4 linked regions of the Caenorhabditis elegans genome follow. The protein of the gene in region 1 purifies or fractionates together with the protein of each later gene. This does not show direct contact. Each region holds a gene or a part of one and is shown in the gene's direction. Other genes may lie near its edges. The genes, in order: nduv-2, ndub-6, ndua-8 and R07E4.3.

Region 1 (3,398 bases):
AATACGTTAATTGTGAAACTTTTTGAAATTTTTTTTTTTTGAGAAAAAAAACTAAAAAGGAGAAAATAAGGAAACTGCGTCAAAACAACAATTGACAGGGAGGCGGAAAAGAAAAGCAACAAAAAAACCAGCTGATGAATGGTGAAAAATAATGTGAATGGGTGAAACGGGAGGGTGCAGAGAAGCGAAACAGACTTCATGTCACGTGTTGACGGCCTTTGCACAAATTGGGAATCTAATTACATGTAATTGCATAAAACTGTGAAATTCCAACAAATGTTACAAAATATGAAGGCTAGAAATGTACTTTAAAGTTCAATGCTATACGCCACTTGTTGCTGGTCACCCGAAATGAGCTCTTCATCGTCGAATACGTGTTCTCTAGCTTCTTCTTCAATCTCTACATCCTCATAATAATCTATTGAATGATGATGAGAATCATGATGATGATGCTGGTGTGGAAGAACTTGCGAAGCCATGCCCGTGCGGACGTCTGAAAAAATAAACGTTTCAGAAGACTTTTGAAAAGGAATGAAATTCTGAAAAGCTAGACGTTGTCCTTGATGTAAGAATCGAATCGTAAAAACTTACAATACATGGGCGGCAATGGTCGTACCAAAAGAGGCTGTTGCGTTGGAGATGAAAATGGTGGAAACTTGCTCGCTGCTTTCCGACGTTTTCTGGGTGTTTCTTGAAAATCTTCCTGAACTTCCCCAGTTTTTTCATTTATTTTGTTCGATGACCTGTCATCTTTGACCTGCTGATGTTGAACTGAAGAAGAAGAACCTTCTCCATGTTCCAATATTCCTTCTTCGTTGTCTCGAAATTGAGCTTGCGTAGCTTCTTTTCTCTTTTTACACATTCTTCGCTTATTAACACCATGTAAAAGCGGTAGACATTTCGCACCGAGTGTCCGTTGTACCTCTCGTTTTTCTTTCCCGTTCAATGGGATCGGTGCTGTGGATGCAGCTTCTTTTGCAAAATGTTGAATGGTTTCACGAATTTGTGCACTATTCGGTTCTTCGTGTCCATGCATCTGAATATAACACCATGCAACTTGAAACAGGTTTATAAAGAACTTACATGTACAAAATCAATTCTAGCTCTATCAACTACTGCTTCGAGATGACCTTTTCCGTTACAAAAATGCTCAGCATTGAGGGGTCTCTCTGGATCTTCCTTGATGATATCGTTGTCTACTAGGATCAACGGAACTTTCCGCTTCAGTTCAGCACCTAAATTTCGATAACCATTCTTCACTTTTGAGCATGATACACATTTCCAAGAAACTAGTCCAGGTATCTGAAAACTAATTAAATATAGAAATACTTGATTTAAAGAAAAATTCACCTTATATTTCGTTGCGATCATAAATTCATAAACTTTGTTACGGTCTGTTCGACTTGTGTAAATGAGTACAGGGTTTTTCCGATGGCGTCCGCTAACATACGTTGCTTCGCCGAAGTTTTCTGACATCTATAAAACTTTAATTTTGATGAAATTAAACAATTAATATGCGCTCTACTACTAATAGTGATCAGAAGCAGTTAAAAAGATTCGAAAATTCTATAGGTTTCTAATTTAAATATGCGTGAAAGTTAAAGAAGAATTCTTCTTTAAATTTCTTCAAAGAAAACAAAAAAAAACAAAAAACGAAAAAATAATAATAAAACGACACTCCGATATGCCATCTCACGCTTAGTTTATCGTAAACATACACCATGGCCGGCGATTTCGAAAAGAAAGGAACTAGTCCCTTCTGAATGTCCGCCCATTTTCAGGCCCTATTTTCAGCTTTTCCCAGTTATCCTGATGAATTTCCGTTGAAAATAATATTATTTTCTAATTCAGCGTATTCATTTACATATAACCAGTAGTTCTACCCTAAGAAGATGTTGCTTTTTCTTGTGAAAAATCATAAATTATCGTTTTTTTATGAAGAAATCAATTTTCAGGTGATCGGCCTGCAAAAGATGTCGTTGGCATCGAACGTGCTGCTCCAGGCGTCACGCCTTGGTGAAATGGTGATCAAGCGAGGCGGAGCTACTGGATTGATGGTTCACCGAGACACTAAAGAAAATAATTTGAATGTCAAATTCAAATTCACTTCGGAAAATCAAGAGAGAATTAAGGCTATCATGGATATTTATCCAGAAGGACATAAAGTGAGATTATACTTTAATGCTGGTTTTTTCAATCAGTTTTATTCAGGCTGGTGCTCTTATTCCACTTCTCGATTTGGCTCAGCGGCAACATGGCTGGCTTCCAATTTCAGCCATGCATGAGGTTGCTAAAATTTTAGAAGTACCAAGAATGCGTGCTTATGAAGTTGCCACTTTCTACACCATGTTCAACAGGCAACCAGTAGGAAAGTATTTCCTCCAGGTCTGCGCAACTACCCCATGCATGCTTCGAGGAGCTGAAACCATCACGGAAACTATTGAGAAGAAACTTGGCATTCATGCCGGAGAAACAACAAAAGATGGACTCTTCACATTGGCGGAAGTAGAGTGCCTTGGAGCATGTGTCAATGCTCCAATGATTCAAATTAACGACGATTATTTCGAGGACCTGACACCAAAGGTATAAAAATATCAATGCGTTAACAAAATTATGTTAGTTTTCAGGATGTGAACGAGATTCTTGACGATCTTAAAGCAGGACGTAAACCAGCTGCTGGACCAAGATCCGGGCGCCTAGCCGCTGAGCCATTCGGAGAGCTTACTTCTCTCAAAGAAACCCCGCCTGGACCTGGATTCGGTTTGCAAGCTGCTCTTAAATAAACGCTTGGACATGCTTGAATTTATTTGTAGATTCCATCTTTATCAGATCCTTGGTTTTTAAAAATCCTAATTTTCGTTTTTAATTTTGCGATTTAGAGTAAAGTGTATTCAATGTATTTATCTGATGATTTTCTTTTTCATGATCTGCGGTTTGCATTCCGTTTCTTTATACTTATCAAATTTCTTTTTGTTTTAAAATTTTTAATTGTTATTTTAAGATGGGTAGAAAGAGCACCAAGAACACTCCTGCGAAGAATGTCGTCGCCGATGTGCCAGAGAAGGACGAAGAAGTCGTTGTTCCACCGAAGACACCAGCCAGGTCCCCAAAGACTAGAGCTCAGAAATCACTAGCAGCAGGAGGTGCTACTCCAGCTCCAAAAACACCGGCTCCAAAAACTCCATCGCGAACTACCAAATCGACTGTGGATACACCAGCACCAAAGACACCAACTCGTGCTGCAAAAACTCCAGTCGTCAAGACTCCAGCTGCAAAAACGCCAGCCAAGAAGGCGCCAGGCGTTCAAACCGTTCCTAGTAGCGATGAGGAGGAGGAAGATGATGAGCTGCAGGTTGTGAAGTCAGTTGCTCCTTCAGTTGAAGTTGCGAAGAAGGAAG
Region 2 (8,479 bases), on another chromosome or scaffold:
TGTAGACAGTTTTTTTGTTCACTATTATATTTTTGCAAACGAGATATGTTTTCTAAAAACACCTTTATTGTAGATTACATTTTGAACCAAATTCTTAGCCAACTTTAGTAACTTTAGAAACGTCAGTCGCAAAAGTACCTACCTCTGTTTGCCTACGTGCCTTTCTACATTCTATATGCACTATGAACTGATTTTTATGTTTATACAGATTTGATTTCTAAATTTTTCACTTATCCATTTCAGATAACTTATTGAAACTTCAATTAATATATTTTAATTTGATAGAATGATCATAAGAATTTTGACAGCAGGCACGCGTCCACAACGGTTTACCAAGGTTGGCAACATTATTTGGACAAAGGTAGGATAGTGGAAGGCCTGTTTGAGGTATCAAGTGAGAAAGAAATAGGTAGATAATTATAGGGATTAATTATTAAAGTATTATATAATCTCACAAATATTTCACATTCGTAGAAATTCGCAGAAATGTTAGTGTTTTAATACGAATATAAAAGTCGTTGCTCATTTGAAATTGCTCACTAAAGAAATCTAACATAACATAGACACAACGAAGTTTAATTAGATATTTTCTTCTATTTGAAAAACCACCATATTCTATAAAAAAATGTGCTAAATTCAACTGCCAAACAAGAAGGCGATCACTTCCTACCGTACTTCCTACGTTAAAACTACTCAGCTTTGCCAGCTTATATCTCGCTCGTCATTTGTTTTATCAAAGCAATTTCAATTGACGAAATATTAATTATTCCCTTGGCTATAGTTTTGCGTTTACTTTATTTTTGCTATTTTTGAAATTAACTGAGATATAAAGCTTCAAAGTGGAACAGGACTACTCCAAAAACAAAATCAAAACTTACTGTAGTTGACTTCATCATTTTTCGTGTTTTTTTCCAAAAAAAAAGTACAAATAAATTGAAATAAGCGCTAAATAATTCCTGAATCAGAGACCAGTAAGTTGCGAAGAACTAAGAGTTTAGAAATATAGGTGAGGAGGCGGTGTCTAGCTGTTTGAGGTACTTGATATTGAATGTTGATATTGATACGTACTGATCAGATAGATAAGGTAAATAGAAATTGACTTATAATGAGAATGTGGAAAAGAAAGATAAAAAGGATAAATTTTCAGATAGGACCGAGTCAAAATGACTCAACCAGCAACATTTTTGAGGAAGAGAAAGGTATCAATGAGAATGTGGAGACTCCGCCTTGTCTATAGGACGCCTGTTTTCTTTTTCCATGGCTCTCTCCGAATGGCACATGATCTCTGTGAGGGAGAACCCTTCAAGTCAGAATCACTCTACTTTTCACAATCTTTGTGTTTTCTTTCATCTTCTTCTTATTTTTCTGCTTCAGGCTCCGTGCTGCTCCTTCCAAATTGATAGATTTGATGATATCCAGTGATAAAAAAGAAACAGAGGTCACTTTTGATCGAGCCAACCATGAAGGAAACGAACAAACAAAAATGTGTTATCAAAGAAAGAGATATCGTGGTTTTCGATTGGATTTTATCAAACCACCGCTCTGCCATACTTCGATATCGAAACGTCAAAGTGTGCAGGAGATTTGTGCGAGCACACGTTCAAGTCATATGGCTCTTTTGCTCCGAGAGCAGGAAGACCGCTTGACACCGGATAGCTTTTCCTACATGTACACAGTGTCACTGAAAAGTGTATCAGTGATAACTGATTGGAGAAAATGAAACGTTTGAGGAATGATACTAACATGAACGTTATCGTATCTTTGAACTCTCTGAAATGAGATTTTAAAAAAATTATTGCAGAAAAATGCAAAAGTAATAAAGGAAGTTTCTGAAAACACAAAATCTAGGAATTACCTAGTTGCAAAAGTCAAGCGATTTTCGCCTAAAAACACGATACCCGGTCTCGCCACGAACAAATTATTTTAAACTCAAATCTGCTATGAAAGGTGTGCTCCTTTGAGTAGTAAGTACAGTAACCAACTTCCCGTTATTTCCTGTTCTTTATTATTGTTTTCTAGTGTTTAAATTTAGATTCTCAAGAAAAATGTTCTAATAAGAGAATATTGCAAAATAACAGGCAAAGGATTACTGTACTATTTAAAAGCGCACACCTTTTTGCGACTTGGATTTAAAAAAATTCGTGGCGAGAGCCGGTACTGTGGATATTTTCACTAAGGATCGTATAATATGCAACTGGTGCGATTACTCTGGAATCTAGACCCAAAAAAACTGAAAATACCGATCACTGGAAATCTTGAAAAAGCTGGAAGACGACGATAGGCATGCACATAGGCCTGAAGATATGCCTACTTACGGTTGAAGTCTAATTGCACAAAATGTTCAAATTTTCAACTGTTGTTCATAATATTTCACTTGTTGTTTGAAACATTGAGCTTGTTTTTTCATACTCAGATATCATGAACATTCTCGTGATAGAACAACAAGCTCAGCTGTGAAAGATCAGTGAACTCTGATCAGTCAGTTTCTGAAAACCCTATTGTGCATATTTCAGTTTCAGATTTTACTTGGATTCTTGAATTGCCTACTCTAGATTTCGCATGACGGATGCATTTCCTTTGCATATGAATGTAAAGTTGTTAACCTCCATATGATATGTCATGCAAAATGTCATTTTCTATGTTATTTTTCTTCAATCCATGAACCCAGAGAAACTTGGTATCATCTTGATTTCTCCCGCCCGTTTGACACGCCGCCATCTGCTCCTGCTGCTCTTTGCCGTTTGGCACGCCATTAAACCAACGACTCGATTCGACGTTCTGAAACGATGAGAGGAAATGGTGAAGGAGAACAGAATGATGATCTTAAGATCAGAGCTTGAGACGAATTCATCCGGGATTTCAAGGGAAGAGAAAAAAAAAACAAAAACAGCAAGTAGGAAAGAAAATGGCTATCACGTACATAGAAAATGCAATAAAAGTTGTGTTATAACAAAAATCATCAAACCAAGAAATAGAAAAAAAATCTAAATATTTCCTAAAAAATTAAAGCTATGGGGAATCAAGTTTAATATTCAATTGGCGGATTTTTTCGAAGAATTTCCAGTGACGATCCTTTAGGAAGATCACCAACTTTCTCTCCCAATTGATACATCCGTGTCTGAACTTCGTCAGTGATGATTTTTCGCATTTGTTCAGTGGTCAGTGACTTTGATAGAACTGTTTTCTTGAGATCAGACAGGAAAAATGGCTCTCCGATGTGAACTGTTACGGTCTGAAACGGAAAAAAATGAATAATTTCACTACGTTTTTTGCAGATTTTATATTTTTACGTCTAAATTTGATTATTGAACTTGAAAAATCTTCCGACTTACATTTCCAAATTTAGGATAGTATGGAGGTTGTGTTGGCCAAACTTTTTCCATCTCTTTACACCATACAGGCAATATTACTGGATCGGTTTTAGCATCCATCACAAGCCTTCCAATTCCCCACTTGAATCGTAGTGGTTCACTTTCAAGAGTACACACTTTTCCTTCTGGAAAGATATGAACCCATTTATTATCATTCAGCATATCCACACAGAAATCCATTCCTTTTTGATAAACTCCTTCTCCACGAACACACGGAACACAACGTCCTAATGAGAACATTCTGAAAAATAAATATGCGACGATTAATTTGAAAAATTCAAGAGAAAAAACTCTTACGTTGTATGGAACTGTTTTGTGAAGCAAATGTTGTGAGCTGCGAGAGTGTATCTATTGCGATCTTTGTATCTCCAAAACTCACGGAATTTCAGAATACCTGAAAATAGAAATTAGGAATGCTATAATAAATCATTCGGCTTACACCACATGAGCGGGTCGTCGATATTTGAGCGATGATTTGAGACTGTGATGAGTGGTTGATTCGGATTTTCCAAAATCTTGACGAATGTCTCTTTGTTGTGGCATATCAACTTATTGGATCCTAAAATGTATCGAATTTAATAATTTTAAACTTTAATTAAAAGACAAACCTCCAAGGAACATAAGTTTGGAAACTGAAGTGACTAAACTCATTGTCATGTATGATTTTATACGGTACAGAAGTGACGGTTTTTTTGGAAAGGGCCATGCAAACCGGAAGCCTTGCACGTCATTTGTTTTATCCCGCATTGTACCCGACATCGTGCTGAAATACTTTTAAAGTTTAGAAAAATCTTTCGAATGGAATAATAAAGTGTTAGAGAACGTGGAAACTATATTAATTTTAATCAGAACAATGCAAGAAAAAAGAAAGAGAAAAGTGCGCCGCGCGCTTGCACCTCGAAACTCCGCCTTCTTTTGCAAGCCGCAACGGGCTTTTTAATAAATGGCAGATCTAAATTTAACTGCAAAATAGTTTGTTTTATTCAAATTTGCTAAAATTTTATTGATTTCGTATGTAATTTATGTTAAATTGTTATATTTCGTTGTCATGTATCATGTTTTTTGTGTGCCCGTTCATTATTATCGATTTTTACTCAGTTTATATTTAAGCAGTCTCACAAATTCATAAAAACGAATTTCAGGCTCAAATGGGTAACCAGTATGTGAAACCAGAACGCACGGGCAATTCCCCTTATACCCGGTCCGGAGTTCCACCACCGGCGCTTGTCAAGACTGGTGACAAGCCTCTTCACAGGTAATTCTTTTAGATTCTGTTCAACAAATTCTATTCAACACAAAAAAATTCAGAGTGAATGACCGCATGTCTCTCGAGCTCCACATGGCCGATGAGCGTGTTCGTGCCGCTGGTTTGAGCCCAGCCGAAAGAGAATGGAGAAAGAAGTGGGTTCATGTGAGTTTTTACATTTTTTGTCAATTGTTAATACTAAAATGTTTATGTTTAGGACCAGCACCTTCACGCTGACGAGCCAGTCGTTGTCGATGCCGTTCATCGTCAGTTGAACCCAATCAGAACCGCTTACAGACTTCCATGGGACAAGTTCTATCTTCATTACCTCAAGGTGAGATATATTTTCTTTAAAAAAATCAATTTTTTAATTTGAATTTCTCATTTATTGCATTTCAGCCAACATTCGGAGTTTACTATGGAACCGCTATCAGAGTTACAGCTCCAAAATTGCTCATGGCTTTCGTCGTTGTGCAGACTGCCTATTATTATTGGAAATACGAAGTCAAGGTATTCAATTTTTTGAATTTTATATTAATTTCACGAACCATTATCTTTTCAAGGACTGGACACATTTGAGAGGACTTGAATCGATGCCACAAAAAGAAGTTATTGCTAGTGCTCCAGCAATTGAAGAGAAATTCCCTGGACTCATGGATAAGGGACTCGCCAACCCATCCAAGGATGACTACTACACGTGAGTTAAACAATAATTTGTGGAATATTGGAAAATTGAAACTTTTCAGACCAACATTTAATAAGCGTACTGCTTACCTCGATGTTGGAGAGACAAAACGACCGTGGTAATCGAAAGGAAACGAGTGACAATCAGTCATTCGAATATGTACTTTTAGGGTGTTGTAGACGAATTTTTAAAGTTTTTTCTTTGTTTTTGACCCTACCGTAAATAAAAAATTTCATGAATGATTTATTTAACCAACTTTCTAGGTTTTATTCATAAAAAACAAGTTGAGATTATAAAAAAATAGGAGAACAACGAGATGGTGCTGCGGAAATACCTGAAGAAGGAAAATAACAAAGAACAACAAAGTATTAAGAGGTATTTTAAGGAAAGAACACTAGTGGATAAAGATACTACAGAGGAAACCTTGAAGGTTATGAAAGAATTTACGTTAGGGAATTAATATTGCTAATGATGAGGTTGATGGGAATAAAATAAGGAGGAATAAGAAGTTTAGGCCGTGACGACCATCTTGATGACCATTGTGAAGATCAGACCAGAGACAATTCCAGAGATGAGGAAGAATCCGGCCATCATTCCAGCGACCTGAGCCTTCGATGGATCAACAGTCTTCGAGGTGTACATCATGGCGAGTCCCGAGAAATATCCACTTCCAAAGCTCATCGAGGCGGCGATAATGACGAAAAGCCAGGTGGATTCGAAAAAGACGGGAAGTGAACGGGTCTCAGGGAGATAGTTGCAGAAGATGAAGAATGGAATATAGAGGAGACGGAGGTAGACTGGAATCCAGAGCTTGTTCGGCGCAGGCTGAAATAAATATTGATATATTAGATTATTCTAATTTATTCAAGTTTACGGTATTCCTTCAATCAGATTTTGCCAAAATCTCAAAAAATAAAAACATACCCATTGCTTTCTTCCGGCGACAATTGATCCAATAAAAGCGAACACGTTGAATTGAAGGAATGTGGTCACATCCATGAAGTATTTTTCTGAAAATTCACGGTTATGTATTTCAAGAGAATTGATGAAAAACTGACGTGGCAATGGGAAATCGTAGACACCTCCTTTCTTCTCATCCTTAACATACATCATGACTCCTGGGAAGATGGAAAGAGTAACGAAGAAGACCAAAAATACGTTGATGAGTTGTGGGAAGGCCTCCTTGAAAGTTGCGATGTAATTAGCCACTTTTCCTTCGCTATCAACTGCTTCATCGTTTTTGTTTCGTTGTCTTTCGGCACGGGTACTGTAATACTGGTAGAAACGTTGTTTCTTGAGGATGTGGAAGGAGATAAAGCAGAAGACGAGTGTGATTAAAGCAATGGAGAAGTAGGCGAATGATCTGTCCAAGATGTTTCTGGTGACAGCTTTAGTCGACATACTGAGCAGGGTGACGAAGGTTCCACACAAATTGTTTCCAATGATCACAGCATTGGTGTACTTGAAAGGAAGCTCCGATGCAAGACCGAAGATACTGTTCTGGTATACTCCATTTGCTCCATTCAATACAATAATTGTGATGATGGTGAGTGTGAAGAATCCGGTGAGCCCTGAAAACGTCTGGGTTTATAAAAATAATAGAAAGGGATGATGACTTACATGTGGAGGTTTCGACGTAGATGAACATCATTGTAGTGATCACACAAACAGCTACAATTGAGAGTCCGACAGTGATGCGACTAGCAAGTCCTCCCCTGAAAGTTTACATTTTATTTAGAACTTAACGAAACATTGAACTGCAAGAATTTATCTTTTAGAAAAAAGTTGCTCACTTGACGACAATGAAGATGTTGAGAAGATTGAGAAGAAGGTTCGGGACTTGAGAAGCGATCGTTTGGAAGCTTTGGAAGTTGGATGAGTAGACAGTTGGATATCCAGTAACTACTCCGGTGTCCATGTCGATTGTTGAGTTGGCGAGCATTTTGTATGATTCGAAATACTGCAAATAATGATTATAAGCGAATTTTTTACAATTTAATACATTTTCTAGATAATTTCTATTAGCTCACATTCCTAAAAAATGGTTTCCATGCTTTGAAATAGGCTTTTAAAATATCGGTGATCTTTTTTGTTGGTATTTCAAAACTCACATCATAGGAGATCGTAATAAGCATGTTCCATGGCATAAGAGTTCCGATTCCATGGAGCAAGATAATGTAGAAAACAAGATTTCCCTTGTCCTCTGGCTCCGGGGATTCTTCCTCGACTTTCTTTGTTTTGTTTAACGGCTGTAGCTCCACTGCCGACGACATAGTACCCTGAAAAACATTTTGTAGGTTGAGACATAAATAACGAGGCAAGAAAAGATGAGCATTTATAGGAATTTTTTCTTCAAAAAGAAAAAAAATCAGCAATTTTCAAGAAAAATGAGCAGAAGTAATTGTTCTAAAGTTTTTCCCAAAAAATTCGAAACGAGAATTGTCGAATTCAAAACAACAGGTGCAGTTAGATGTGCAGGTTATTACTGTAGCTGAATTTGAAAAAATCCATAAGAAAAAACTTCATGGAAAAAAACTGAAGATGTTTTTTGACTTTGAACTCAAAAGAGAATAATCAATGAAAGTGAAAGACAATACTTGATAGTACGGCGATTGCCTCTCGTCAGCTATTTAGTAAGATAAGCTAAAAATTGAAAGGTATACTTCATTTCAATGAAACTTTTGTCTGCAAAAAAGCGACGTCAAAGCATGTATTTGCAAACTGTTGTCGTGAAAGGGAAGCTAAAAAGTTAGCTTCAAGGTAAAAAAGTTTGACTTAATTGAAAGTTTGATGTGAAAACTGTTTCTTAGAGTAACAATTATTGGCGATAGTTATCAAATAATGCAAAGGAAGTGAAAATAAGATTTTTAAATTAATAAAATCCTGTTAAAAATTGAAAGAGCTCATTAAAGGCAACAACTTGGAAAAATATACTTTTTACAATCCTAGACTTCGTTTAAAGGTCGTAGAATTCTACAAGAGAACAGATTATGTTTCATATTTTACATATTTTCTGAGTTATATCAAAATTTGTGTTATAACGTATCTGAAAATAAATGAAAAAGCCTCAAATAGTCCAATCAAACACGAAAAATTATTGCAATTTTAATCCAGAACGATGCAAAAAATGAATGAGAAAAGTGCGCCGCGCGCTTGCATCTCCAAACTCCGCCTACT
Region 3 (9,016 bases), on another chromosome or scaffold:
GAATTATATGGTAGAAATGCAAATTGAACGTCGTTTAGGCACTGAAAATTTTGGGAAAATTGAGAATTTTCGGGCTTTTAAGCTGGAAAATCGCTTTACGCGGCTCGTGTACTCCCCGAGGACAAGACTTTACAGTTTTTGAGCTGAACATTCTTGATTTATGCAATTTTCACAATTTTTTGTAGAGATTTTTGGGAAAATCAATGAATTTTCTCGATTTTCAGCTTAAAATGCAATTTTTGGCGCTTTTTTTTTTGGTATTCAAATCTCCAGTTTATAGCAATAAACACTATTAAATTAGAGATCTAGAATTTTCTGTCATTATTTATCACTTTCGGTTTCAAATCGTCAAGGTTTGCTAATTTAATAGTTTTTTGAAGTAAAATTCGATAAATGGGCGATTTTAATGTTAAAAAATACTAAAAATTGAGAATTTTAGACAAAAATTGCCTTTTTAGAGCCAAAATCAACATAAATTCATGGTTTTTCACAGTAACCACGGCGATTTTTTTTTTAATTTTAAAAGTGAAAAAATCAGTGAAAAATGGCCTGAAATCAGGAAATTTCTTCTTCTCCTCGGGGAGTACACACGAGCTGCGTAAATCGACACGGAGCTCTTACAGATCTCGAGTGCTCCTGAACACCATTTACAGTGGCCACAATGAAGGGATTCGGCTGATCGAAATAATTTGAGGTTGGACGATTATTTGCAACAACTGGCGGTACTCCTTCTTTTTGGAGACTTCTGGAATTTGAAATTTTTATTATTTTTTGAAATTTTTGAATTTTATAGTAAATTTCACCATTTTTATACTATTTTACTATATTTTAGATTAATTTGAATGCTAAAGTCGAAAAAAAAAAATTTTTCAAGAGAATTTTTTCAAGAAAATTCAACTTTTTAGCGTTGAAATCTTGAATTTTTAGGCAAAAATATGTCAAATTTGTGGGAAATGTTCAAATTTTTTCAACAAAAATTCGTGATTTTAAGCTATTTATTTATTTTTTATTTTTTCCAAAAAAATCAATTATCTTTTTTTTAATTATTTTTTTTGCATATTTTTAATTGAAAATAAGCGATTTTAACTCAATTTTTGCCGAAAAAGTCGATTTTTCCCGGGATTTTTCACTCGATAAGCAATTTCTATGAGAAAATTCGTCAGAATGTGCGTTTTGGATATTTTGGCTCAATTTTTGTCAATTTTTCATTAAAAGATATAGTTTTTCTGCAAATAATCTGTTTTTCGTGGAAAAGCGGATTTTTTGTTTCATTTTTTGTTGTTTAAATCAATAATTATATATACGAAAATCTATCGAAATAGTGCAAAACTACTTAATTTTTTAAACAAAAATTTTTCGATTTTTGTCAATTTTTTTTGATTACACGCTAGAAAATTAGGGTATTTCGCAAATTGTATGCTTTTTCCAGGAAAATTTCAAATTTCTTTAGATTATTGATAATTTTATCAAAGAAAATTATTCGTTTTTGTGATTTTTTGTTGATTTTCATGTGTTTTTAGCTGAAAAATTCGATTTTTCCGGTATTTTCCAATAAAAATTTCCGGAATTTTCTCACTCGATAGGCAATTGAAATACATGAATTGATTCATCAGTATATCCAATTGTAACTTTATCCAAATCCGTAAGATATCCAGCCACACAACGTTTCGTAGTTATTTCATTTTTATGAAAAACTACTGTTGAAAGATCATCCATATCAATAATCATCCAACATGTCGATGCAATTATTAAAAGCATTCTTCTTGTTGAACAAATATATGAAACACTTCGAATATGTTGAATTTCTAGTCGTTTTGATTCATCTTCATATAGAGATGTTGCTGGGTCCTTTTTCTCCAGTTCTGTGAGCGTCCACACCTGGAAAATGGGGTTTTAGAGCTTGAAAATGGCTATTTTCGCGTTAAAATTGGTCTAAAATTATCTAAAATCAATTTTTTACCTCGGAAAAATTTAAATTTTTCCGTTTTAGCATTAAAAATAGCTTTTTAAACCAAAAATTAGAATTTTTAAATGTGAAAATTTAAATGTGAAAATCTTATGGTAATTGTCATTTTACAAGTAAAAATCTATTTAAAAACGAGATTTTTGCGTTAAGAACACTTTACATTGTGTGAATTGTTCAAAAATTCGCTTTTTTCAGTCAAAAATTGAAAATTTACATTAGAAATGTCACGGAAATTGCCTTTTAACAGGGAAAAAAGCTTCGAAAATTCTATTTTCTACTCGAAAAACCGTTTAAAATGTCATATTTTGGACGAATTTATACATGTTTTACACAAAAATCAACTGCAATAGCTATAAAAATTCAATTTTTCGAGCTTTTCAACTGGAAAAATGTGGTTTTAGAGCTTGAAAATGACTATTTTTGCATTAAAATTGATAAGAAACGGCCTAAAATCGATATTTTGCATCATAAAAAGAGCTTATAAACTGAAAATTTGAAATTCTCACGGAAATTGTGTTTTTTTTAGTTAAAAATTTTTTTTTAAGCTTCAAAAATTCAATTTTCCACTCGAAAACTGTCCAAAATGACATTTTTTCAATAGATTTATACATTTTTACACCAAAATCAACGTCAAAAGTCGTAAAAATTAATTTTTTTTTTCTTAAAAATAGCTTTAAAATCAGCTTTTTTAATCTAAAGGCTATACAAAAAATCTTCCAAATTAAGTAGAAAATTGGCTTTCTGGAGAAAAAATTCCAAAAACTGTGATTTTTAAGTGAAAAAAATTTGAAAATTTCACGGAAATTGTCGTTTTACAAGTTTGAAAAATCGAAATTATTAATAAAAAACTTTTAAAATCCAAATTTTTGGGCAAAAATTACAATTTTTTGCTCAAAACCACCAAATTTCGTTCAAAAATAAGCTTGAATCAGGGTATCGCGATTTTTTTTTCCATTTCTACATAAAATTGAAGATTTTTTCTAGAAAATTTGTATTTTCACATTAAAACATTTAAAAATGCAATTTTTCCGCGAAAATATGATATTTTTTAATGTTTTTCGGTGATTTTTGGCTGAAAAAAATTAATTTTTTCGCTTTTTAATCGATTTTCCATTAATTCCACACCTTCATCATTCCACTCAGAGTCATTCCAATCAACTGATCCTCCTTTTCCGGATGACTAATAATTGTAAAACAGCTTATCCAATCCGGTTCAACTCTTGAAGAAATTGAGAATACAACTGTCAAATCTTGTGGATCCATTACTTGAATATCACTATAATCTCCAATACAGAAAAGACGAGTTGCTCTCGTGTGACGGGACGATTTATACGTCTGAAATCAAAAAAATTCTCGGTTTTTTCGGCTAAAAATCGATTTTCCAGCGCCTACGTATGGATAAATATATCTGTGAATTGCAATAGAAGATGTTGAATCAATGCACCGTCCATCTTGAATCTCCCAGAGGCATACACGTCCGTCGGCTGAAGCTGAGACAAAACGTCTGGAATTTTTCGGAAATTATCGATTTTTTCCAAATCCTGCGTTACTAACGTATTTGTCGGTGTATTTGTTGTCTGAGAGATTGCTGTAATCTTTTGAGAATGTCCAATCATTAGCTGCTTTGGCATAAGTCCTTCTGCTAGCTTCCAAATAATAATGTGGCCATTTTCAGCGCCTGAAAATTTCGAAATTTCAGATTTTTTGTTTTATTGTTTAGAAAATTCGATGAATATTAACCTGTGATAATTGTTGCGCCATCAGGAAGCACACGAATTGCGCAAATCTTGTTTTCCGGCGGTTTCGGGCCCCAAATGACAACTGGAACGGAGAGCGCCGGCGATTTTGTGCCGGCTGGCGCGACTTCCACCATTTTTCAGCTAGATTTTCAGATTTACAGCAGAAATTTACACAATAATTTCATAATATTTAATCTGAAATGAAATCTGAATTTCTTCAATTAAATAAGCTTTTTTTTTAGAAAACTTTAATCGGAGCAAGAAAAGGGCAAAGTTCGATAGCCCGTAAATCGACATGAGATGCCGCGGGTCTCGCAGGGAAGAGAGCCAACATGGCATGCGCCTTTAAACTTGTGTGGATTTACGGGCAAACAGCCGTTGCGCAAAACAAATTTTATTTTTTATTTTATCATTTAAAATCAAAATAAACTATTTTCAATCGATTTTTTTTTGTTTTTTTTTGTTTAAAAATCAAATTTCAAATTTTTCTCATCGAAAATAATAAATTTCATCACCGAATTCCCTCTCTGTAACAGTTTCCGCTTGGTTTCCAATTTTCCAATTTCAGGGTACATTTTCCGATGAGTATAACCAAGGATACGCATTTTCCAAGTGACGAGGAGCTCACTGTTCCTCAGGAAATCACTTTATCAACTCCATGGCTCAAATCCATCGCTCCCTATATGGCAAAACATTGCGAAAAGGAGGCAAATGTTGGTTTTTCTGCCAAATTTTCGATAAAATTGAGATTTTTTGCAGGAGTTCATGCTTCGACGAAAGGAAGCCGAGGATCCACGTGCCGTTTTGAAGGAGGGAGCCGCGCTGACCGCGTGTGGAGTCAATTTTCTTCAATCTTTGAAGCGTTCCTGCCTTCCACAGACTCAGAAGCTCGCCGAATGTGTTGATCAGAGCAGTGCCAAGCTTTACATGTCAAAGTGAGCTTTCCAAAAATGAAATTTCATCGAAAATAAACCGTTAAAAAATTTTAACGTGATTTTTTTCCGAAAAAAAAAGCGAAAAAGCAGTAGAATATTCAATTTTCAGGTGCCATGACGACCAGAAGGAGCTCGATGCCTGCGTGGAAGCTAATTTGAACTTGACGCGTCCAAAGCTTGGATACTTCAGCAAACTTCATGTCTATGACTCGGCCACCGCGGCTCCAGGTACAGAAATTATAGAATTTACGATAAAATTAATTTAAAAATGCGAAAAAATCAATATTTTAGCTGAATTCTTCCACTGTTTTTCTCTCAATTTTTGTATGAACTTTTCAGAAAAGTTCCCAGAAACTCCTGAAACTTGAAAAATTCTAACGTTTTTGCATATTTTCCTGAAAAAAAAACCACTTTTTTGTTAAATTTTTCGCTTTTTTGACTATTTTAAAGCTTTTTAAAACTAAAAAGTCACGAAATTCACCTTTTTTCAGTCAAAAAAGCCTTGTAAAACTGGTAAAATTTGTATTTTTCGGAATAATTTCAAATTTCGAGCCAAAATATCACTATTTAAACCTTAATTTCAGACATTTTTTAGCGACAAATTCAAATTTCTATCCAAAAAATATTGTATTTTAAGTTAAATTTTGATAGATTTTGCGGAAAAAATCCGAATTTCAAGTCAAAAAAATCAATTTTTTCAGTTTTAGGCATCATTCCCACCTGAATTTCACGAAAATCTCACTAAAAACTCATTTAAAATCCCATTTTTCGCGGCAAATTCAATTTTCCCCAATTTCAGAGGTGAAGCTCCGTGACTACAAGGCAGAAGCAGCTAAAGTGCTCAATGAGCTTCCAGCCGACTATCATCTTCGCAAAGACTACCGTAAATACAACGACTGGCGCTACAATATTACTGAAAGCTAGATTTCTCTGAAAAATTGGCCGTTTTTCTGCAAATACCCTTCGTTTTCCCGTAGAGTTCTCTCCAAATTCTCCTATTTTTTTCTTGTTTTTTCCCGTTTTTTTTTCCAAAAATTTAAATTTTTTCAGCGAATAAAATGTAGATTTTCTTTAATTTTTTTTTTTCACTTTTTCAACCTTTCTGGTTTTAATCCGTGTGCTATTTCTAACAAATTGTGTGATTTTTTGCTGTGATTAAATAATTCGATTAATTTCTTATTTCAGACCTTATGGAAATCGTCTCAAGAGCATGGGAATCTGTAGATTGGGACCGAATTCAAGTTTTTTGGAAAAAAAAATTATTTAAAAAATCTGAAATTTCAGACAAGAGTGGAGGCTGAAGTGACAGCACTTGGACAACGACAAGATGACAGTGAAATTCGTAAAACACGATTGGTTGAGGAGAGTAATGCATATAGAGGCAGAACTAATAAGGTAAAGAATTGGAGAAAAATTGGCCTGAAATCCGGTGAAAATCGAATCAAAATATGGGAAAATTGCCGAAAATCCAGCAAAAATAGAGAGAAATTATGGAAAAAATGGCTGAAAATCCGGCAAAAATGGAAAGAAATTATGGAAAAAAAATTGGCTAAAATCCAGAGAAAATCCGGATAAATTGGCTGAAAATTCGGCAAAAATGCTGAGAATTTATGGAAAAATTAGCTAAAAATCTCAGCGAAAATTACTCGAAATTTTAGGAAAAAAAATGATTGAAAATCCTGCAACATTGGGGAGAAAATATATAGAAATTTGCTAAAAAACAAGAAAAAAAATGAGGAGAACTTTTGGAACACTGGGCTGAAAATTCAGAGAAAACGAGTATAAATTCTTGAAAACTGAGCTAACAATCCTGCATAATTTGAATAAAAATTCAGCGAAATTAATGAAAAATGGACCAAGCTCTGTCGATATTTATAAGTGAGGATTTTTTCCACCGATTTTTAAATACAACTTTTCTTGAAAAAAATGCAAAAATGTGCTCGGAATACTCATTTTTCAGTAATTTTCAGTTATTTTGCTTTAGAAAATAATGGTGCAAATTTTCTTTAAAAAATCGATATCTCTGGAATTTGGATCTGTGTAATTTATAAATAAGTAGTTTTTTGGAATTACTAGAAAACTTTTGGAAATGCTACAAAAAATGTAGAATTAGTACATAAAAAATGTCAATTTTTTTGAACTTTGGTAAATTCCGGTGGTTCTCCAATATGAAGTGAAGATTATGTGCTCCTCAAATGATCGATATCTCGAAAATCGTGATCAATATCGATTGATTTTCCCGCCAAGTGTCATACCATCAATCGAACATTAGTCGAATCTCTCTCTCTCTCTCGCCATCTGTCATTCAAATCGTTTCTATCTCGTTCTCTTATGAGCTCTGTCCTTTTTTCGTAATTTTTATTTTTTGCTCTATAGTATGTAGGTTTTTGTACTACTTCCTAGTCTATTTTTTTCAACTTTTCCTGTAAAAAATATTGTTTATTACCAGCCGGTAGCATATGCACACACACACACACATACATATTTCTAGTAGTGTCTGTATTAGCTCATAAATCATCAGATTAGTTTACATTTTCAAATTAATCCTATAGATATATCACATTTATTTATAGCTCTGGAGGGCATTTTTCAAGTTTTTAGATTTTCTAGATTTCGAAATTTCATCTAGAAATGTGCAGAAACTAGAGGAAAACGCTTGTAGAATCTCAATTTCTTTAGATTTTAAAAACTCGAAAAATTCCAAATTCGCAGATCTCCCAGGCTGCCGTATTATGTGTTATCTCCAGAAATAAAGGCCTAAGCATATCCAGATTTTTTCTTCAATTTTCCCTGATCTACCCGTGTTCAGCAATTTGATGATTCGACATTTGGACAATTTACAAGTTTTTTAGCAAAAAACTTCAATGTTTTTGGTGAAGAAACACATTTTTTCTCACCGAATTCATGAAAACCTGTAGAGTTTGACCTCTCATTCTGGGAGTTGGAATCCGAACAATAAATAGAGTTTCTCAAAATTCTATACTTTGTCAGTTCGGATTGCCGCCGCCCACGCATGGATCGAATGCTCTGATCTAGAAATTCAACTCTACATAGTAATCTGCAGACGTGGTGTCAGGCTGTCCAATTGCGGTTTGATCTACAAAAAATGCGGGAATTTTGTTGCTCAAAAAAATGTGACGTCAACACACACTCTTAACCATGCGAAATCAGTCTCTTCTCCCGCATTTCTTGAAGATCAAACCAAAATGAGGCACTTTGACACCACGTGAATCTGCTCATTTCAGTACTTCTCCAATCGGTCCCTCCGTTTTCCCAACTCACTCACTCCCTTCTCTTCTTCTTCCTTTTGAGTGGAAAGCATCAAATCGATTTCTTCTTGGCCATCTTCCGGATGGGTCTCTCTATTCTCTCTCTCTCCCACGCACTCTCTCTCACTTATGTAGTCGTTGTGCTCTCTTCCCATAGACGGGTGGTGCAGATGCATGATCGAGACGAGCTCTCTCTATATATGTGGCCGATTGCTCGATTGCTGTTGTGCTGAAGAGAGACGAGATGAAGAGAGACGCAGCGTATAACGTGACAGACTCAGGCGGTCCCCAGATCGATTTGGAATTGCTTTCTCCCTCCGTTTTCTCTCTCTCACACTCCTTTCTTGGAACGACAACATGACAGCCCCCGCGCGATTCAACGCATCGATCTTTTCTCACACGGAGAGAGCCCATAATTTGATGCTCTTTGGGGAATTACTACAGCAGCTCCGAGATGTGAAAAATCGAAATCTGTCTGGAATCGAAGTACCTAAGGCTAAACTAAGCTTTTCGGACTAAAATCGGCCGAGATCTTCTAGAAATGCTCAAAATGCCCTGAAAAATCGGTGGTGAAACGATGAAATTCGATTGAAATGAGCAATTAATCGAGAAATCAGAGTTTTGAAGCCGGAATTTTTGGTGAAATACGGCTTTTCCGCGATTTGGGCAAAAAACAATTTTTGCCCAAATTTCGTGGAGACATGTGAAAATTCATGTAAAACCAGCTTAAACAGAGATTTTCTGTTGCCGGTTTTTCAAAAATTGTGAGACGAAACACAGATTCTACTGATGAGCTTACATTAGAAGCTTATCTGAGAAGCTTAAGCCCAAAATAAATGCAAGATTTTAGCATTGGCGGGCTCATAGGGGGAAAAATGGGTTCAAACCACTATTGCAGATTACTCACGGAAAAAAAAAACTGTGAAAACATATGAAAAATCAGCGGAAACTGCGATTTTTAGGCTAAAAATGTCAGAGGGGCGATTTCAAGTGAAATTTTACCGATTTTTCTCGTAAAAGTCTGTAGAAATTCTCCAATTACAATTTAAAAATCGTCTAAAATCGTCTAAAATCTTCCCAAAAACCAAAAAATTAAAATTCTACAAT
Region 4 (7,709 bases), on another chromosome or scaffold:
GTTTTTTTTCCAAAAATTATTTATAATCTTTTTTATACTTTTGTATAATAAAAACTTCAAAAATCCAAACAACTCACCATCTGCTATCACTTTTGGAGATGTGTGTGCTTCTACCACATAAATAAATACAATAACTGGAAAGAATATCATTGCCGAAACGGCAAGAATGGTGAATCTAAGACTGACACGCATAGGATCACCGCATTCGGACGCTGCAATTCGGAATAATATTGTCAAAAAACAACAAATGTGAGAAGCGACAAGGATATTGAGAACAATAAAATTACGGTACTGGTGTAGTAGCTGTACCTAAAAATTTAATTTCCATTAAATTCTAGTCTAATCGAATCTTGATGTTATGTTGTATTTTTACGCTTAAAAACCACTATTTCAAAGCATACCATTGTAAAAAAAGGTCACTGCAACTTTTAAAAATGGTTTTAAAATTTTGTGGTATGGCTCCTACATAAGTACCAAAAATAAATTTATAAAAGTTTTAAAAATTATATTTTGACTTTCATTTTAATTGAAATTCAAAACAGGTTTGCCTGTATTTCATTCAAAGCGCACTTCCGAACAAGGAACAAAAAGGAAAAGATAAAAACCCGATTCAAACAGTTTGCGGAAATGTATAAAAGCTACCAAAACCGTGTCGTTTCACACAGCGCCAGCGTGGATTTGTTCCGTGTCTGCGCCTCTCATCACCAACACGCGTTGCTTGGAAGGAGAGGTATGATGAGAAGAGCAAACACTACTGGCATTGATTGATTCAAATTTTGAATCAAAAGTTGTTCAAAAGCGAAAATAAAGTAGTGATAGCAGTGATTTTGAACACCGACATTTCCAATAACAAAAAAATAGGTAATTGTTTGACAGGAAATCTTCATTCACAGGAACATAACAGCAATAATGAGAATCTTCGGAGTAACTACCCGGATATCAGAAAATAAAAATATGAATTGATAACAAATAATAATATAAGCTTCACAAGCTACAGTAATAATTTTTAGTCCGCTAGTGGCGTGGGCGTTGAGTATGGTGAGCGTACTGTCCATGCTGAAGATGCTGCGAATGCGAGGCGCGTGGTCCACGATGTGGATGTACAGGATGATGGGCATGGTGCAGATGTGGCTGATGATGTGGCATCTGCTGATGGTGTGGGTGCGGCTGAGTGTAATGATGACGTCTTGATGAAACCGCCTTTCTTGGTCTTGGCTGATAAAGCATTTGCTCGCTGAGTTGCTCAAAGTACTGAGCAGCACCGTCGGCTACTGGAACAGCCTGTCTCTCAAGCCCATATGACTCCTCACGAATTAATATTGCAAACTGTCGAGCCATTTCAGGGCTCTGACCATAAATCACCATCCGAGTCATGTTCTGGTATTCCTTCTCAAATAAAGCAGATCGGTCCTGAAGTTTTCGCAGAGCCCGGACCATTTTGTTCACATAGAATTGCATGGCTTCTGGTGAGTACCATCCGGTCACTGAAATTTTGAGAAATAATTAACAATTAGACTTTAATTTTCGGAATATCATTGACTTACGTTTGGTGTAATCATGATTTGGCTCTGGGCCGACAACTGTCTTTTCACGCTCCGTCAGCTCTTCAAAGATATCATCGTCGTTGACTATAGCTATCTGCTTTTCAAACTTTTCCCAAGTCATATCGAGCTAAAATTTATACTTTTAAGCTCAATGTTTAAGTTTATGGCCGAGTTGCACCAATGGACAAATTGTTAAAAACCACTCCTATGGTGCTAAAATTACCAAATCTCATAGTAAACTTTTTTTCAAAATTTTTTTGAAATTTTGTTGTTTTGAAAAGGGGCAATTACTCAGTGCTTGCTACGTTATCGGAAGCCGTCGATCAAAAAAATTCCCTTTGAACTTTATAGCCCACTTATGTTTCAAATATTCCCACATCATAGGACTTAAACATGCTACCGTGCTATAATTTTCCAAAAGTTACAAAAAAAACTCAGTAATTGCCATTTTCGAGTGTTAATAAAAGATTTTAAAGATTGTGTTGAAAATTTTAATTATGATATTTGGTCACTTTAGCACAATAGAAGTTGGCTTTAACAATTTTTCCATTGGTGCTACTCGAACTTTAATTTCTGTCCCAAATCGTATTCAAAATCTTACCACAATGATCTGAATATATTTCCCATAATCAAAAACATTCTCCTGTGACTGATTATCATCTGCGGCTGTTTCTTCACTCATTTCTTGCTTGATTTCTGCTGCTTTCAGCTCTGTCTGACCTTCCAAAGGAATTAACTTAACCGGCTGATCTTGATTCGTTGTCAAATCTTCCATTGGTGGTTCTTCCGGCACAACCGCATCGTCGACAATACAGCTTTCTTTCTTTACCTCCACAGGTAAAGAATCTTGTACCTTGTCTTGAGCACGAAGATCGACATCACCAACAGGAACTGCTACACGCAAATCAACATCTTGTGATCTGTAATCAACATCCTTGGGAGCTGATGGTTCACGCATATCGACGTCTTGTGTTTCGAGTGGAATTGTTGGAACTGTCGGAATGATTTTCACAGTTTGCGGGATAACGGGAACCATATCTGGAGACGCTGGACAATCCATCGGAGGACTTGCTGGAGAGTCATCTTCAGGTGCGGCAGCGGATTGAAGTTTGTCCTTCTCTTCTTCCAGTTTTTTAACAGCATGTTCTTCAAGTTTTGCTTTAAGCGTTTCTTCATCATAATAAGTCTTGTCATCTTTGTCAAATTCGCGGAGTCGAAGAATAACTGGTCTGCGTAACCCAGTGTAGCGCTCCGTTGCACATGCAACTAGGAACAATGGATCTGGTGTCCCATCTGCTGAGGCTTTTCCGTCTTCATTCTCTTTGGTTTCGGCTTCTTTGTCGTTTTTCACTTCAGAAAGTAGATCGCCATTTTTGGCGTCTTTTCCTTTCTTTGCATTTGAAGGTTCGAGGGTTTGCAATCTTCGCTTTCTCCCTCCTTTAGTCAAATTTGTTTTTTCATTTTTGACATTTTCGGCTGTAATTGGACCAGACTCTCCGTCTCCTTCGTAGCCGTTTTCATTGTTGGGAACAAGGTTTGGAAATTTTTTTTTCGGTGCTCGAGGTTTCACTGGAACAACTGGCGCAGTTGTTTCAGACTTCATGTCGTCAATTTCCTTTTTGATATCTTCATTGGATTTTTCAAGGCTTGTATCAGAACTCCGATCGTTTTCATCTTCTTTTTCCAGGAGTGCTACAGGCTTATCACCAATGATCTCTTTCAAAACACAATATGCGACTGCATTATTCACTTTCGAACCTGGAAATAGGACAGGTTAAATAATTAAAACATTTGCATATTACAGTAGTTACCTTTTTTGTCATAGCACTTGTCAATTGGAAGAAGGAAACTTCTCGTCAAAACTGAAATCGTTTCCAGTGGCTGATATGTTGATGTGCCAACAATGTCAATTTTGGTAAGTTCGTAGGGCACATTTTTTCTCACAGTACAAGGTGCAAGTTCTACTCCAAAAGAAGTCCCGAAATTGACCGTTGTGACGTAGTTCTCGGTAATCTTCTTGTGAATTGTCGCAGCTAGTTTTTTTGAAGTTCCGTGTTCAACCAGATGAACATCGCTTTTGAGTCGTTCAGAAATATTTAGTTTGATTCCAGAAAAATCGAGAAACGTCATCTTTTTGTGGTATTTGTGGAACATTTTGAGAATCTGAATTTATGATTGTTTTTTTTTTATTTCTTATTTAAAGGTAAAGTTTTATGGTGTTACAATGACTGAATATAATTTTGAAACTTTTCAAAACATTTTGGAAATTAATATTTTTGGCCAAAAAGCGGTGACAACCGAGCTTGTGCCACTCTTCGAGAAATGAAACACAAATCCCTACAATGTTGGAATATAAATATTTTCAACATGAATAACATAAAAAAGGAAATTATTATTTTTCATCGATAACTTCCAAAACAGACTGGTGAAAGCTTACTTTTCATCGCTTTTTTGAAGTTTTCCGAACACTGCCGAAATTTTTTTTAAATGATATTTAGTTATTTCAACACCAAAAGAGTGATTTTTCACAATTTCCTCTCTGGCGTTACTCCACCTTTAATGTGGTGACAACTTACTTTTTCATTAACAATAGTGGATACAATGAAAAATAACGCATTTTCATCCTCATCGGCGTCCAACGCAGTTTTCCAAAGCGAAAGAAAATCATTCTGATCTGATGGCTCAAAAATCATACTTTTCGAATCCTCAAACATCTTCAGTGCTTTTCCTTCTTCCAGTTCAATGTAATTATCACCAATGTGCTGAAAAAAGTGTAAACTTTATAAACTATTGCTTCAAAAACTCACAATATGAACTCTATCGATATAGGTCGGCTGATGATCTCCTTTTTTGCAAATTTCACGCAGAAAAATGTACGCATTCTCCATTGGTGTCGCATCACAATCGATAATTGCATGCATTTTTATACTCGCGTCGACTAAAAAGTGAATTTGGTTGGGAAACGGCATTCCTGAAAGAACAATATTCAATTTCTAAAATAGCATTTAAAAAGTAAAGAAATAAAAACCACACTTTGCAAAAAAATCTAAAAATTGGATAATAAATGAGGAAACTTAACGTATAACGACAGAGGCACCCTCCAAGGTGCACACATTTATACGGCCGGGTCTCGCAGCGTGTTCTCAATGGAGCGTCCTTGCACACCAACCAACTGAGGCGCTCGTCGCAACTGCTGTATACTTTTTCCATTGAAATTTACTTTAACTTCTTAATTTGTTTATTATTTCAGATAAAAATGAGGCCTTCAGCCGTTGCAATGGGAAAACATTTTGGAAATTTGGGAAAAATGTATGGAGAGCATAGATTTGCATTGGCTCCAAACGAACAAAAAGCTTATAAAGGATTCTTCGATCAGGCATTTGTGAGAACCTTCAAAACCTACGTTTGGGATCAATGGTACTACTACATTCCACAAACTATTGGTGCATATCTTCTCTACGATTGGGCCAAGAAGACAAATGTTGCTGCAAACCGCAAAAATCCAGCTGATTTTGCCAACGACGAATAACTTGTGGAAGAAGTTGGATTAGTTATTTCAATGTATTAATTGAAATCAACGTTGGAATTTTTTCTCAAATAAAATGTATTACTAGAATCACAATGTGTTTTTGTACACAAGCATATCAAAATATGATTTACTTTAAAACTGCAGTACAAGAAAAAAAGCTAATTATTTTGTCAGCTGATAATGTTTTCATACGTAAAAAATCAGGCGGGAGAACTGCCAAAGTTAAGCAAGGAAATACCAGACTAAAGGATCAAATGCGGTATTCTAATGTTTGATATAGTCAAATCAAACATTGCAAACATGCAAGATAGACTATTATTAGTATGTGTACGCATTAAAACAGTATAATCGGCAAGAACCTCTAATAATTCTTTCAAAAACGTTTGTAGTAGAATAATTAAACACTTGAATACATTTTAGATTTTTCAAAAACTTCAGTCAAAATTGTGGCAAGTTGCCAAATTTTCCGAAACAAAATTAGTAAACCGTAGGACGACTTCAAAAACAATTATATAAAAGAGCAAACTGAATTTTCACTACTTCGTGACTGCACATAAAACAATCGCAAACTTAAAAAATTTTTTGCTATTGTTTTTAGTCATTTCAGGAACGTGGGGAAAAATTAAAAAATATTCTCCAGAAAAAAGCAATTAGAAAAAGTCAAAGTTAATATTTTCTAAACAAAACTGTCATCCTAAAAAGATTTCAAACCACAAGTGGCAAACCACAGGTTTTGAAGCTGATCTATGCTGTCAGAAGATTTATACTTTTTTACATTGGTAACTAAAGAGATATGTAGAGCATGTATTTGCGTCTAGCAACCGTTTTGCTTGTTTTGTTGTTTCTATTCAAAAAAAAGTCTACTTCCAGACAGCTGAAAAATTAGTTACAAAATATTATCGCTGGCTGGTCAATTTTTCTTTCATTTATCTAAATTTAACTCGATTTGATCTTTCAACCTTTTATACCGCTCAAAAAATACTGTTAGTCTTTGTTTTATGGATACTTTTGACAGCAGCTTTGCCAAATATTTGATTTGTTATCTTCTGATTCGAACAAAACAAATTAAACGGAAAGCGTGAAAACCTTTGAAAGCAGATAATTGATTCATAATTCCGTAATATTCTCGAGCTTTCTTCTGTAAGGTTTTTCGATTTATTTACAGTTTCTGTCTCAGGAAATTGGCTGCTGAATTCAATTTTAAATGTTCACAATGTGGGACTTTTCATTTTCCTCTGAAAAAATGTTTCACCAACTTACACTGCAAGGATGGTGTTCTTTTTAAATATGTCCTAATCTATTCCAATCGTATTCCAATGGGTTAATATGATGTAGCACTCACTTATCGGAAATTTATTTTTTGGGTTTCTCTGAAAATTTGAACAGAAAATATGAACAATTTGTAAGAGTTTAATAGCTACCAAATTTTCAAAATTCGCGTTTTTGGCAATAGCGAGCACATTTTTGGCAATTCGAAAATTTGTCAATTATCAAGTAAACATTTTTTGAAAAGTATAAAGCACAACTCTTCTTTGGTCTGTTTAGTTGCAATTTTTAACATATTCGGCAGACTGCACTTTCTGCGATGATCAAATCTCGAAATCATTAAAAAGTGTCAATATATTTTTAAAAAATCTACAGTTATCATTTGAAAGTTTAGCAATAAAATTCCGCACAGAAAAGAACCACTCAACTTTTTCTTTGCCCATATACTCCAATTCACTAGTATTTTCTATTTCTCTACACTTTCTGCTCAATTAAAATTATTCTTATAATGTAGGAAACATATTGAAAAGAATTGGTAAATTATAAAAGAGAGGTACATTTCATCTCAGAAAATGATTCTGACTATAGAAAAAACCAAAGTAGTCATGAGAAATGACAAAAATGAATAATGAGCGCCTTAAAAGCGTATGATTTCACAATTTTCATTTGCCGTAGTTGACTTGTGCTTTTTGAGAGGTTTTGTATTTGAAATACTGGAACTTTTGTTAAGTAGCAAAATTTTTGGAGTTTCTATAAAGACTTAAAAACAAATATTCTAATAGGGTTTCTTAGCAATGTTCAAAAGTTGCTCTCATGGTAAAAAAAATAAACCTCCAAAATTTTTAGATTTTTCTAAAAGTTAAGCCAAAGTTTTGGTAAATTGCCACATTATTCAAAAATGATTTCCACATATTCTGGTTTTTGTATGTTTTATAGACAGTTACGCCTTAAAGAACTTTAAAAAAATCAAAACTTTTCGCTGCGATTCAAATTTCCAGGAGTTTTCAAGATAACGTTTTTTTTATCCTTCACGGAAAATTTATGGTGATATAGATGACCGTGTGAGTATTGAAACAAGTGTTATATATTTATTAAATCAATATAGTCATATTGTTACCCTTTAAACTTTTATACGAAAAAACGAATGCTGTTTGATTCCTTGATTATGATTAATTCCCGTCTCAAAAAGCATCAGTTTTCATGTTATTCAGTTCGTGGGGGTGCCGGTGAACCTTGCATCGCAAGCTCATGTATTCTGTGGTCCCTCAGCAAAACGTATCACATTTTTCATTTTAGAAGGACACCGCGTCGTCTCAAGATGAGAAAGCTCTCTCGCGGTCGCGATGACACACGCACAAAAACCTTTCTAC

What was found.
Region 2: the proteins of nduv-2 (region 1) and ndub-6 fractionate together in Caenorhabditis elegans (co-fractionation; one large-scale study listed by BioGRID). This does not show direct contact.
Region 3: the proteins of nduv-2 (region 1) and ndua-8 fractionate together in Caenorhabditis elegans (co-fractionation; one large-scale study listed by BioGRID). This does not show direct contact.
Region 4: the proteins of nduv-2 (region 1) and R07E4.3 fractionate together in Caenorhabditis elegans (co-fractionation; one large-scale study listed by BioGRID). This does not show direct contact.

The regions. Positions count from the first base shown.
Region 1 is NC_003283.11:13,624,125-13,627,522, reverse strand, and holds nduv-2 (putative NADH dehydrogenase [ubiquinone] flavoprotein 2, mitochondrial), read left to right. Parts: upstream 1-1,955; 5' UTR 1,956-1,973; coding exon 1,974-2,165; intron 2,166-2,211; coding exon 2,212-2,583; intron 2,584-2,610; exon of another isoform or gene 2,611-2,627; coding exon 2,628-2,783; 3' UTR 2,784-2,898; downstream 2,899-3,398. Other genes in the region: F53F4.12 (Thioredoxin domain-containing protein), read right to left, coding at 309-493, 592-1,036, 1,084-1,302, 1,351-1,476; F53F4.11 (Ribosomal L1 domain-containing protein), read left to right, coding at 3,002-3,398.
Region 2 is NC_003282.8:11,647,890-11,656,368, forward strand, and holds ndub-6 (NADH dehydrogenase [ubiquinone] 1 beta subcomplex subunit 6), read left to right. Parts: upstream 1-4,513; 5' UTR 4,514-4,519; coding exon 4,520-4,626; intron 4,627-4,679; coding exon 4,680-4,782; intron 4,783-4,834; coding exon 4,835-4,951; intron 4,952-5,016; coding exon 5,017-5,127; intron 5,128-5,180; coding exon 5,181-5,314; intron 5,315-5,363; coding exon 5,364-5,424; 3' UTR 5,425-5,543; downstream 5,544-8,479. Other genes in the region: ZK809.8 (Cardiac phospholamban), read right to left, coding at 879-896; acl-3 (Tafazzin family protein), read right to left, coding at 3,026-3,232, 3,333-3,612, 3,669-3,765, 3,811-3,930, 3,980-4,130; ent-1 (Equilibrative nucleoside transporter 3), read right to left, coding at 5,813-6,127, 6,227-6,312, 6,361-6,873, 6,923-7,017, 7,096-7,262, 7,414-7,575.
Region 3 is NC_003281.10:2,524,790-2,533,805, forward strand, and holds ndua-8 (NADH dehydrogenase [ubiquinone] 1 alpha subcomplex subunit 8), read left to right. Parts: upstream 1-4,273; 5' UTR 4,274-4,286; coding exon 4,287-4,418; intron 4,419-4,464; coding exon 4,465-4,640; intron 4,641-4,749; coding exon 4,750-4,868; intron 4,869-5,439; coding exon 5,440-5,564; 3' UTR 5,565-5,713; downstream 5,714-9,016. Other genes in the region: rbc-2 (WD_REPEATS_REGION domain-containing protein), read right to left, coding at 1-41, 622-745, 1,577-1,878, 3,092-3,301, 3,359-3,470, 3,521-3,644, 3,707-3,839; Homeobox protein cut-like ceh-44, read left to right, coding at 5,831-5,881, 5,925-6,035; cone-1 (Protein CASP), read left to right, coding at 5,831-5,881, 5,925-6,035.
Region 4 is NC_003284.9:5,948,658-5,956,366, forward strand, and holds R07E4.3 (Cytochrome b-c1 complex subunit 8), read left to right. Parts: upstream 1-4,800; coding exon 4,801-5,073; downstream 5,074-7,709. Other genes in the region: Nucleoside-diphosphatase mig-23, read right to left, coding at 78-192; R07E4.5 (VWFA domain-containing protein), read right to left, coding at 1,015-1,484, 1,545-1,671, 2,146-3,302, 3,356-3,707, 4,121-4,306, 4,352-4,513.